Daphnia pulex: one gene and its partners. The protein of the gene in region 1 interacts with the protein of each later gene in a pairwise test. Links are inferred from orthologs where the notes say so. Each region holds a gene or a part of one and is shown in the gene's direction. Other genes may lie near its edges.

What was found.
Region 2: the proteins of homeotic protein ultrabithorax-like (region 1) and segment polarity protein dishevelled homolog DVL-3-like interact in a two-hybrid assay, tested with the Drosophila melanogaster proteins (2 studies listed by BioGRID). The link is inferred for Daphnia pulex from reciprocal best matches to the Drosophila melanogaster genes Ubx and dsh.
Region 3: the proteins of homeotic protein ultrabithorax-like (region 1) and recombining binding protein suppressor of hairless-like interact in a protein complementation assay, tested with the Drosophila melanogaster proteins (2 studies listed by BioGRID). The link is inferred for Daphnia pulex from reciprocal best matches to the Drosophila melanogaster genes Ubx and Su(H).

What each region holds. Positions count from the first base shown.
Region 1 is NC_060024.1:12,346,325-12,349,974, forward strand, and holds part of homeotic protein ultrabithorax-like, read left to right. Parts: 5' UTR 1-960; coding exon 961-1,801; intron 1,802-3,650. UniProt on the Drosophila melanogaster protein: Sequence-specific transcription factor which is part of a developmental regulatory system that provides cells with specific positional identities on the anterior-posterior axis. Binds the consensus region 5'-TTAAT[GT][GA]-3'.
Region 2 is NC_060018.1:12,878,339-12,882,664, reverse strand, and holds the start of segment polarity protein dishevelled homolog DVL-3-like, read left to right. Parts: upstream 1-1,391; 5' UTR 1,392-1,609; coding exon 1,610-1,770; intron 1,771-1,902; coding exon 1,903-1,972; intron 1,973-2,041; coding exon 2,042-2,130; intron 2,131-2,198; coding exon 2,199-2,278; intron 2,279-2,394; coding exon 2,395-2,463; intron 2,464-2,570; coding exon 2,571-2,717; intron 2,718-2,781; coding exon 2,782-3,019; intron 3,020-3,088; coding exon 3,089-3,217; intron 3,218-3,289; coding exon 3,290-3,417; coding exon of another isoform or gene 3,418-3,477; coding exon 3,478-3,567; intron 3,568-3,627; coding exon 3,628-3,933; intron 3,934-4,001; coding exon 4,002-4,259; intron 4,260-4,326.
Region 3 is NC_060025.1:8,027,528-8,031,177, reverse strand, and holds part of recombining binding protein suppressor of hairless-like, read left to right. Parts: coding exon 1-273; intron 274-337; coding exon 338-512; intron 513-581; coding exon 582-719; intron 720-810; coding exon 811-1,220; intron 1,221-1,942; coding exon 1,943-2,128; intron 2,129-2,202; coding exon 2,203-2,439; 3' UTR 2,440-3,650. UniProt on the Drosophila melanogaster protein: Transcriptional regulator that plays a central role in Notch signaling, a signaling pathway involved in cell-cell communication that regulates a broad spectrum of cell-fate determinations.

The sequences.
Region 1 (3,650 bases):
GGAGGAAGACGGAAGAAAAAAAGAAACTCTCGACGTGACCCGTCGTCCAAGTAAACGGGCCCGCTGTTTTCTACGCAACAAACATACACACATACACAATCAACGAAAAAGCTGTTACATCTTACTCGAAAGTATCCTGTTGTGTGTATTGTGTGTGTGCAGTCGTTACGCGGTAGCTGGAATCGTCGTAGAGTGGCGCTGGCGACTCTTCCATTTCCAACAAGGGGCGAAGTGGGCGTGTCCTTCCGTCGACAAACACCAAAAGAATCCAGGCAAAGCTCCTCCCCCCTCATCCCACCCCAATCGCCCCTCGTGCCCGTCATGATGGTTGTGGCCACCACAGAGCGCAGGCCCGACCCGCGGCCGCAGAGCCATTAAAAGCGGATGCGTGCAGCAACCCAAACGACGATCGCTCATTGGCTCTCGCAGCCAACCCCCCGCCAAGGCGAGAGAGTAGACCCCACCTCTTCGACTCCGGCTGCTGCTGCTGCCGCCACCGCCGCCGCTACTACTACAACAACTACTACTACTCATACCCCCATTATAGAGGCCTCCGTGTCTTTGCCCGGCACCCTTTTGAGAGTCCCGCGTACAGCAGACGGCTTTAGTTGATCGCTATCAGCAGACTCCGACGCAAGCGTGTGCCCAGTGTGTCCTCTCCTCTCTTCTCTCTTCCCTTTGAGCGCGCGGGACCGAGTCCCATCACGGCACACAGTTTGAATAGTACAGTCTGCCACTCTCTCACTCAGTGTATTCCCTTCTTCTCATCAGTGCAGTCGTCAACGATTCGTTCGTTGAGTCAAAATCGGACCTTGAGTGTTACAAATTATTTTTTTTTTTTTCGTTTTTTAATTTGTGAAATTGGATTTGGTGTGGCGAATTAAAGTGAACGAATTTTTTTCGGTGGTGGACAAGATAAGACGAAAGAAAAAATTGGTAAAGCGAAAAAGTTGATCGAAAATGATGAACTCGTACTTTGAACAGTCCGGCTTCTACGGTGGACATGGACAGACGGGGGCCGAGCAGGCGTACCGATTCCCGTTGGGTCTCGGAGTCAATCCTTACGGGCCGCCCTCAGGCGGCGTGACCCGCCAGCAAGTCGATTCCTACGACCAGTCGACAGCGGCGGCTGCGGCGGCGGCCGCAGCGGCCGCTTCCTGCAAACTCTACGAGCAACAGTACAAATTGGACTGCAGCAAAGCCGACCAGAACGGCTACAGTTCGGCGGGCATCAACGTCAAATCCGACAACAATTCGGCCATCAGTTCGTGGGCGCAGGCGGCGGCGGCTGCGGCGGCCGATGCGGCCAGAGCGGCCCAGCAAGGTGGAGTCAACGACCGGGGTGTCGGAGTGGGTTCCGTCGGTCACGGACACAACAACATCAACAACCGAGGCGTGGTGGGCGGCGGCGGTGGCGGAGTCGTCGGAGGCGGCGGCGGTTACCCGGGCGTCGTGTCCAACGTCTCTGGCGGCGTCGGAGTCGGGCCGGAAGCGGCCATCAGCGCCGTCACCCCTCGCCCGGCCAACTCGGTCGGTCCAAACAACAACCCGTGGAGCCCGTGCTCCCTCAACGCCACCACAGCCGTTCAGGCGCCGGTGCCGCAGCACGGAGGCGGCGGCGGCGTCGGCGTCGTGTCCCAGCACAACACGCAACACTCGCAACAACACCAACACAACTCGGTTCAACAGCACAGCAACCACAACACGAGCGGTCAGCACGCCAGCCACGCCATTAGCCAGCAGCAATCGCCACAGAGTCAATCGTCTGCCCATACATTCTACCCGTGGATGGCCATCGCCGGTAAGTCCGCGCCCTCCCGCTCATTTCATTTTTTCCTTTTTCTTTTTCAAACATCGTAAATTACCGGGCGCGTCTCTTTTTCCTCTTTTTTTGAAAAATAAAATAAAAGACGAACGCGTGGGACATAATTTACGATCCGTTTTCACGAGTGTCATGAGATCGACAGCAACAAAGTCGCAAAACTGTGTCGGATCACGATTTTGTGTGTTTTCGACGGCCCTGTTGAACGCTTCTGACCGCTCCTGTGATGATGATGATGATGTACTCTTACGTGATGGTGGTGCAGGGGGGGCTGCTGGAAGTAGGGGGCGGAGCGCGTCATAACTCTTTTTTCTTTTTCGGCCGGTACAACTAGCGGAAAGAGACGGGCACGGCACACACACACATACACACACACACGTCTAAGCTGCATGATCCGAACGACTCGTCCTCGGCCGTGTCGCTCAACAACACGCAGACCCCCTTTTTTTTTCTTTCTTTCACTTTTGATGACCTCCATAAAAATTCGAAACCGTCGGACCTTTGCAATGGGCTCGTAACTTTCCTTTGTTGCCCGTCCAGTGGCAGTTGCGCAGTCTGCAGCACCCAAATCACATAAAATGTCCTGTTTTTTTAACTAGTCTTCCTCGTTTATGTTTGTTTGGTTGGTGGGGGGGTCGCCACGCCAATCCAATCCAGAGAGGGAAAAAGGCGTCACAGCAAAACAAATAATAATACTAATAAAAAAAGAACCGATGAAGGGGGGATATTCAATTCTATCCAACAAGAGAATCATAAAATAAATAAAAATTATTCTCCCTAAACCCTCTGAAAAAAAAAAACTTGATTATAATTAAGCGAAACGAGATTGTGAATTCGTGTTATCATTGTCTGGGTAACGGACCGATGGCGATTTTTTTTTTGTCCACTCTGTTTCACGAGAAATTTGTAAAACACACATTTTGTCCGGCTGTAATCCAAGACGACTAAAGAAAAAGAGAGAAAGGGCCTTGTCTGCTTAGTATGCAAATAGCTCTTTCTTTCTCTCTCTCTCTCTCTCGTTCACTATCTATCGGCGTTCTCCCCTTTTTTTCCTTTTTATCTTCCCTCTCATTCTCTTTCGTCTTCAGGTTGCCAGCTAGATTGTATGTTACAGTCGATAAGGCCGCAGAGATTACCCAATATGCCTTTTTTTTCCTTCCTTTTATTCTTCTTCTCCTCGAGGAAATAAATTCATCCTGTTGCTGCTGCTGCTGCTGTTACCACTGGGTACAGCGATAAAAGCTGAAAAAGAGAAGGAAAGAGAGATGGCCATTTCGCTCGAGCGTCCAGGAGTCCCGAGGCGTTGCGTGCGCAACAGGTCTTGCGGGATTAACGAAACAAGCTAGTATACGATTTATCAATAGTTGAAGATGGGTGAAAGAAGAAAAAATTTGCCTCTAGATACCTATTTCGAAAGCAAACACAAATAGCGTTTTGCCGTTCATTTCCAGGTAGATCAATTAAAAATGTGTAAATTGTTGGAATTTCTAAATACCCCTAAGACTCCCCGGGGATCGACACGGGCCGTTAAATGGTTCAGGTCATCAGAGAATGACATCTTAAGTTAAAAGCACAAGGTGGAAGGCTATTATATGTAACATCGTGTATAACGGCAGCTACGAGATTTGTTGAAGGGCGACCCAAAAAACTAAAAATGTTTAAAATAGTAGGCGGGAACCCCAGAAAAAAAAAGAAAAAAATGAAAAAGGTCTTTTTTTTCCTCTTTTCCTCAGGTGAGACATGCGGGGGGTCGGGACTGTTGGTCAGGAATGGCGGACCCCGTGGGTATCTGGGACGAAAACACTGGGGTTTTCATGTAATAATTTAT
Region 2 (4,326 bases), on another chromosome or scaffold:
TTGGATTTTTCAAAATGAAATTTGTATTTTTTGCGCGCTTCCAACATTTTACTGTAGTAGGTTGACTATGAAAACGAATTTAAATAGCCAATGACAGTGAGCAGTAGTCTTCTTAGCTTCTCTGAGGTTTTTTTTTGCTTTCAAAACGTGGCAAACGAAACTGTATAAGTAGAGTAGGGAAACAACTAGAATCAGAGTGTAAATCTTTAATGTCAGATTCAGACTCTGATGCTCCTGTTGACGGTGAATAAGCGTGGCATCTGCGATGTTAGAAGATCTCGAAAGAAGATTTAATTTCATGACAGATTAAAGAGATCCTGATTTCGACTGCTCCTACCTTCTAGCCACTTCCCTCGACTGCATTGAAACTGAACTTTTAGACAACTTCCACTTTGCAAGTCATGAATTTGATCCTTCTAAGGATCCACCAGTTCAAGATGTGATCTCTTACTGGAAGGATTTGTCTGGTCGTTTCCCCTAATTATCCAAAATGGCCTATAATTTACTGGTTATACCAGTTTCTTCGGCATCATCTGAACGCGAATTTTCCATTGCCGGATGGCACTGTCTAGGACACAAAAATAGGACGGCGGAAGAAGTTTTGGCCGCAAAAGTCTTCCTCACTTGCAATAAGGATTTATTGAGGCCTTTACTTTTTTAGTTGGAACTTGTTTTTTTTTCTTTTGTCTGTGCGTTTATTTAATCCGCAGTTTCTGTTTTTTTTAGTTGATCATTGCTTCATTGTGACATTGTTCAACGCCAGCAGCAATTTAAATATAAGTAATCAAGACCGTGACTGATTTCAGTGATTTGATAGTGCAATTTTTTTATTAAATAACGGTAAAAATAACGTCGAATTTTCGTTAACGGAGACATTTTTAACGGCGTTAATTAACGGCGTTAACGAACGTGAAAAAATGAGACATCGTTAACTTAACGGATAACGCTAACGTTTAGAAAAAGCACTAACGAAACATCACTACTGGCTACTAGCTTGCTGCCCTTTTGCCATGATACCACAACCTAAAAGCAATCGAAAATTTAAGGAATCTTTACAGCTTACATGATAACCAAAGCTAGAATACATATTAATTATTATTTTATGAATAAATATTAATATATATTATATTATATTACTATGGATACGATAGTAAGATCACCAATTCACCATGATTAATGATTATTGTATTATTAATATATCACGGCCGTTAGCGAGTTATTCAACGTTATATGCTATTTTATTTTTTTAAATGAAACAAAAATCACGAACAACAGCCCTTTTTGAAGATCCCCCCTTTTTGCCAGATTTGAATTTGAAGCAAGTAGTGTGCAGTGTGAGCAGTAGATGGCTACGCTGTGGATAGCGGGTCGGAAAAACCATCTGTCGGCTGACGTTAATATTTTTTGGGAAAACCGGGACGCCCAATTGGAGGCTCACAAGACTTTAAGCCTCGCCATATTGAACAGCCTGAGGGAAAGGGGAAAAGTCTGTATTCACTATTCAGTCCTCTTCATGTTGCGCAGATAGTAACTTTTGACGCCCTACCCGTTTTTGTAATCTTGTCAAAACGATTGGTTTGTTGTCGTTGACTCTTGACGCAGTTTCCTAATGGCGGAAACAAAGATTATTTACCACATTGACGAAGAAGAAACTCCCTATCTTGTTAAACTTACAATATCTCCCGATCAAGTTACCCTAGCCGATTTCAAGAATGTTCTCAATCGTCCAAATTACAAATTTTTCTTCAAATCAATGGACGACGATTTCGGGTAAAACCAGTTTTTCTCGTTTTTTTTTTGTTGTTGTCAAGTGGCAATAACGTGTTACATGATAATTGTCCATGTAGTTATTTTTTTATGCAAGTGTAAGCATTGTTTTCTCTTTATTGTTTATGTTTCTAGTGTTGTCAAGGAAGAAATTGTTGATGACGATGCTCACCTTCCATGTTTCAATGGAAGAGTCATATCATGGGTAAACGTAACAAGTTAAATTATATTGATGAATATTTTAAGATGTCTTAATGTTTCTTTCACTTTGTAGCTAGTATCAGCTGAAAGTAGCATTTCAGACTCTGTATCTCAATGTGCTGAGAGTACTGCCACTACTGATGGGAGACCACCGTCTTTCCAGTGAGTTTTTTCTTTACAAATTTTCACTGCTTGTAAAGTTTGGTAATTAACTCGTCATTTGATTTTAGCCCTGGCCATAACAGAAGTATGGCTGAGGAATACACAACAGCTACTGAGACAGAATCGGTCATTAGTTCAAGACACAGTGGTAAACTTTATTTCCTTATGCTGTATTTTTATGTTTATGTGTTTACCTTTGTCCTGTTGCATCTCATTTTTCGTTATCTTCTGCAATTCTTTTGTTCTTTATGTTTTGCCATGAAGAGAGGCACATATTGCCCCGCTCTGGCCGTGTGCATCGTGAAACTTATGAAAAATATGATCGCTTTGATGGTGAGTTTGTTAGCATGGCTTTTTTTGTAGATTGTTGCTTCACTAAATTTTCATGTAGAATGTCTTATCTTACTATATATTCGATTAACATCCGATTGTCTCTTTAGTTCAAGCTCCTCGAAATGGCCACAACGCTATGAGACACAGAGCTGGACACGAATATGAATCCTCTTCTATGATCAGCTCGGATTTAGAGTCGACCAGCTTCGTTGACTCTGAAGAAGATGCATCTTCACGTATCACAACGACCACGGGTATTAAGCAAAGTTATAATAACTCTGGATTTATTGAAAATTTTGCATATTTTGAAATTTGCAGATCACACTAGTGTGTCTCGCCAAGGTCGCAATCGGAGACGTAATCGTCGCCGTCCCCGCCTCCCTCCTCTTTCATCTCGAGCTTCATCATTCTCCAGTATCACGGATTCCACTATGTCACTCAACATAATCACTGTCACCCTCAACATGGACACAGTCAACTTTTTAGGAATTTCCATCGTCGGCCAGAGTCATCAAGGTGGTGATGGTGGAATTTACGTAGGATCCATAATGAAAGGGTATAAACACAGATGAACCTGACATATTTCTTGTGGTAATTTCAAATGAAAATCATTGCTATTATTTAGTGGGGCTGTCGCTTTGGATGGTCGAATCGAGCCTGGTGACATGATCCTTCAAGTCAATGATATTAACTTTGAAAATATGTCAAATGACGATGCCGTTCGCGTTTTACGAGAAGTTGTCCAGAAACCTGGGTAAGCATAACTGTTTTTTTTGTTTTCCAACTTAACATTTAGTACATTGTGTTTTTTATTTGCATGTGTCAGCCCAATCAAACTTGTAGTCGCCAAGTGTTGGGATCCTAATCCAAAAGGATATTTCACTATACCCCGTACGGAACCTGTTCGCCCTATTGATCCCGGTGCGTGGGTTGCTCACACGGAAGCAGCAAGAGGTGATTGTCGTATTTTAAATCATAAATTGGCATCCAACAACAAATCTAACGTCATATTAGGTGGAACGCAGTACCCGAATCGTCCGCCATCTGTGGCGACGATGTCGTCAACCACCACAACAATGATGTCGAGTATGCCAGAAACCGAACGTAAGTTGTCACGTAGAAAATGTACCGAAAGAACTTTTGACTAAGTACTACTTGTCACAGGTCCAGTTGAAGAAGCCCAACCGCTTTCAGTGCGCTCAGACATGCTCGCAATTGTGCGAGCGATGGCGCGCCCAGATTCCGGACTTGAAGTTAGAGATCGCCTTTGGTTAAAAATTGTAATTCCAAGTGCGTTTATTGGATCAGAAGTGGTCGACTGGCTTCACAATCGCGTGCAAGGACTAGAAGAGCGGCGTGATGCCCGCAAGTTGGCTTCCCAGCTTCTGCGAAACGGTTACATCAGACATACAGTAAACAAGTACACATTCTCTGAACAATGTTACTACGTGTTCGGAGACCTGTGTTTGGGTGAGTTGACATTTGAGACTTATCGGGTTATAGAATATTTTGTTTGATGAAAGGGTTTTATCTTGTAGGTGTTTCGGCTCTTCGCCTGACTGATGACACGACATCGGAAGCCGATAGAGACACGCTCGCACCGTTGCCGTTGCCGACTCCTTGGGGTAGTGGGCCTGGTGCTACAGGAGCCGGTGGGGCTACCCCTCACATACCTTATTATCCAACCGGTTATGCGCCCATGCCTTACAGCTACAGCAGTGATCCCCTCGGATCGGCGCCTGTACAAAGTACTACATTTACGTATGGAAGAGAAGGCAGCGTTCACAGTGGTTCAGGTAACCCTCCAAATTCGATTAATTGAATCCTTACAAACTGTATTGTGAAAGTCGAACTTCAAATATG
Region 3 (3,650 bases), on another chromosome or scaffold:
CGCTACCTGCAGGAGCACGGCGACATGGTCGTGGTCATCCTGCACGCTAAAGTGGCCCAGAAGTCGTACGGCAACGAGAAGCGCTTCTTCTGCCCGCCGCCGTGCATCTACCTCTACGGCGACGGGTGGCGGAGGAGGCGCGAGGCCATCCAGCGCGAAGCCGCCGCCAACGGGGCCTCGCCCGCAGAAGCCGAAGCCGCCTCGCAGCTCTGCGCCTTCATCGGCATCGGCAACTCTGATCAGGACATGCAGCAACTCGACCTCAACGGCAAAGTAATTTTCAAATTTTAACCAATTCCGGAATTTTTTATTCATTGGGAATTTTGATTTCTGGCAGAGTTATTGCGCGGCCAAGACGCTGTTCATTTCCGACTCGGACAAGCGCAAGCATTTCATGCTGTCGGTGAAAATGTTTTACGGCAACGGCCAGGATATCGGCGTCTTCCACAGCAAGCGGATTAAAGTCATTTCCAAACCGTCCAAGAAGAAGCAGTCGCTCAAGAACGCCGATCGTGAGTGTTTTGATTCTTATTTTTTCAGTTCTCGATTGACTTAACATCTGACTGTGTAAAAATTCCCAGTGTGCATCGCCAGCGGGACCAAAGTGGCCCTGTTCAATCGACTCCGCTCGCAAACGGTCAGCACTCGTTACCTGCACGTGGACAATAACAATTTTCACGCCAGTTCCACCCAATGGGGCGCCTTCACCATTCACTTATGTGAGCATCTACTACAAAAATTCCGCCATTTGTTTCTCGACTTAACTGAAAACAAAAATAAAATGTTTTGATTTCAATTTTGTTTCGGCAGTGGACGACAGCGAATCCGAGTCGGAAGAGTTTACGGTGCGCGACGGCTACATCCATTACGGCAGCACGGTCAAGCTGGTGTGCAGCGTGACGGGCATGGCCCTACCCCGGCTCATCATCCGCAAAGTGGACAAGCAGATGGCCGTTTTGGACGCCGACGACCCCGTCTCGCAGCTGCACAAGTGCGCCTTCTACATGAAAGACACGGAGCGGATGTACCTGTGCCTCAGCCAGGAGCGCATCATCCAGTTCCAGGCGACGCCGTGCCCCAAGGAGCCCAACAAGGAAATGATCAACGACGGAGCCGCCTGGACCATCATCAGCACCGACAAGGCCGAGTACCAGTTCTACGAGGGCATGGGACCCGTCCGCAGTCCCGTCACCCCTGTCCCCATCGTCCACTCGCTACACGTGAGTCCCTTTTTCAGCTGTCGATTGCGTTTTTCTTGTTTTATTGGCGTCCGATTCGTCAATGAGATAAAAGTTGGAAAAATTTGACGGGAGGCTAAGCGACAGGAGATAAGATACAAAAATAAAGAAATGCCCCAATGGCGTCGGGCAGGATGGAAAATAGGCGTGAGAATGCCAGACGGACCTTCTCACGCTCGGCCCCCGAGACGAAAAAATTGTGACAAGGGAGGGGTTAGCTTCTTTTTTCAACTGATGTTCTTCTTCCTTCCTTCCTTCCTTCTTTCTTTTCGTTCTTCACTTCTTCTTCTCCTTTCTTGTTATATTATCCAATTTGGGTGGCGAATGCGTTCCCACGGGAAAACTATGCGAGCGATTTGTTGTCGCTGCTGCTGCTGCTGTTCAGAGTCCTTTTATCCCGTTCACCTCCTCCTACTCTTACTTGGTCTTCTTTTTCGTTTTTTTTCCCACACATTTGTTATATCGTTGACCGTCGCAGGTTGACCACCAACCAACCGACCACTACAATCAACGCTGGATGGCACCAACAAAGCGGAACGCCAATTTTCCACAACTATCCTCATCCTCCCTCCCAAACATTTTTTTTTGTTTCATTATTTTTAAATTAAAAAAAGAATCCCGCTAGTGCCGACGTCAACCATATTTTTTTGTTTTAGTCCGTCCTAGTCCGTCAATTTAATTTTTGCCTTTTCGTATTTTCATAGTTGAACGGTGGCGGCGATGTGGCCATGTTGGAGCTGATGGGCGAAAATCTGACACCCAATTTGAAAGTGTGGTTTGGCGACGTGGAGGCCGAGACCATGTTCCGCTGTGAGGAGTCGATGCTGTGCGTCGTGCCCGATATTTCAGCTTTCCGTTCCGGTTGGCAGTGGGTCCGCGGACCGACTCAGGTACTTTTCATTTTCATTCCGTTTTGTCTTTTCTTATTTTTTCCAGATTTATTGATGTCATTTTTTTTTCGTAGGTTCCCATATCTTTGGTGAGGAGTGACGGTGTCATCTACGCCACCAGGTTGACGTTCACCTACACACCGGAGCCTGGACCGAGGCCGCATTGCCCTCCGGCCCAGGAAGTCTTGCAGCGCGGGGTTGTAGCCGGATCTAACAATGCCGTCAATCCGATGGCACTCGGCTACGACAACCAACACATGCATCATCAACAACAGCCGCAACAACAGCAACAACACCACCAGCCAATGTGAAATTAGAGAGGAACAAAAAAGAGAAACTTTTTGTGACGGCCCGGAAGAAATATTTGGTTAGTTTGTTTTTCTTTTTTTTTTTTCTCCGACACAAAACAAAAAAAACCCTACAATTCCAAAATGTTGTTTTGTGTCCTGGGCGTGTTGACTTAGATTTGTTGTGTGACGATTCTCCTTTTTAATTTACCTGATCGACTGATTTCCAGTGATAATCGATGTGAAACTACCGTTTATATCTCTCTCTCTTTTTTCTCAGCTTTGGTGGTTGGATATAGTATCCATATAAATTTCCTTTCTCTCTCCAATCGAAAAAAGATCAAGAAACAAACAAAAAAAATAATTAACAAAGAAAAAAGGCACACAGTTATTATTGGTCAATTTTGCAATGCGTTAATAACCCTTCTCCACTATCGTATTATATCCATAGTTGAAACAGAAGTTCCATGATACACAATTTAGTTTTTCGTCTTGAACTTTGTCATAATTAACGTGACGAAAGCCGTGCTATTCGTTGAGCGTTCCACCGTTTTTTTTTGTCAACACCCCCATCCCTCTTTTTTACCAAAACAATTTATTATTTGGATTCGATTATATTTTGGTGTGTGATTGGAGTGCGTGTTGGGTGTGTAAGTGTAAATGTGTGTGTCTTCTTCCTAATCTAGTATTTTGCTGGCGTTCTTTGGCTGCTTAATTATGCAAAAAGAAAATATCTGGAGGAGCGGCTTCGATGTTTTGGGGGCTTTCGAAGGATCAGATCGAACGAGAAAACGAGCATTTCGTTTTTGTTGTTTCGTCCATTTTTTTTTTTTTTTTTTTTTTGTAATACCATTATTATTATTAATTAATTAGAATTATAATTATTTGCAATTTTGTTGAATTCGTTTCACTCCGGTATGGTCCTTAATTATTATTTTTCTTTTCTTTTCTTTGACAAAAAAAATTTGTGAAAAGAAAAGAATTTTCCAATTTTGTGTGGGTTTTCCTTATTTTTTGTGATTCCCGGGCTCGGTGAAAACGTGTGTCGTCTACCATAAAAGAAAAAAAACGGATTAATGAGGATGGGAATGTTTATATCACTATGCCCTTTCATTTTGCGTTTCTATTTTTTATTTTGTGAGTCTTGAATGCGTGTGTGTTTCCCCCCTCCCCCATTTTCTCCACGACAAAACGAGAGGTCCATCTTTTGTTCGTTCGTTTATTTTGTCTCCCTC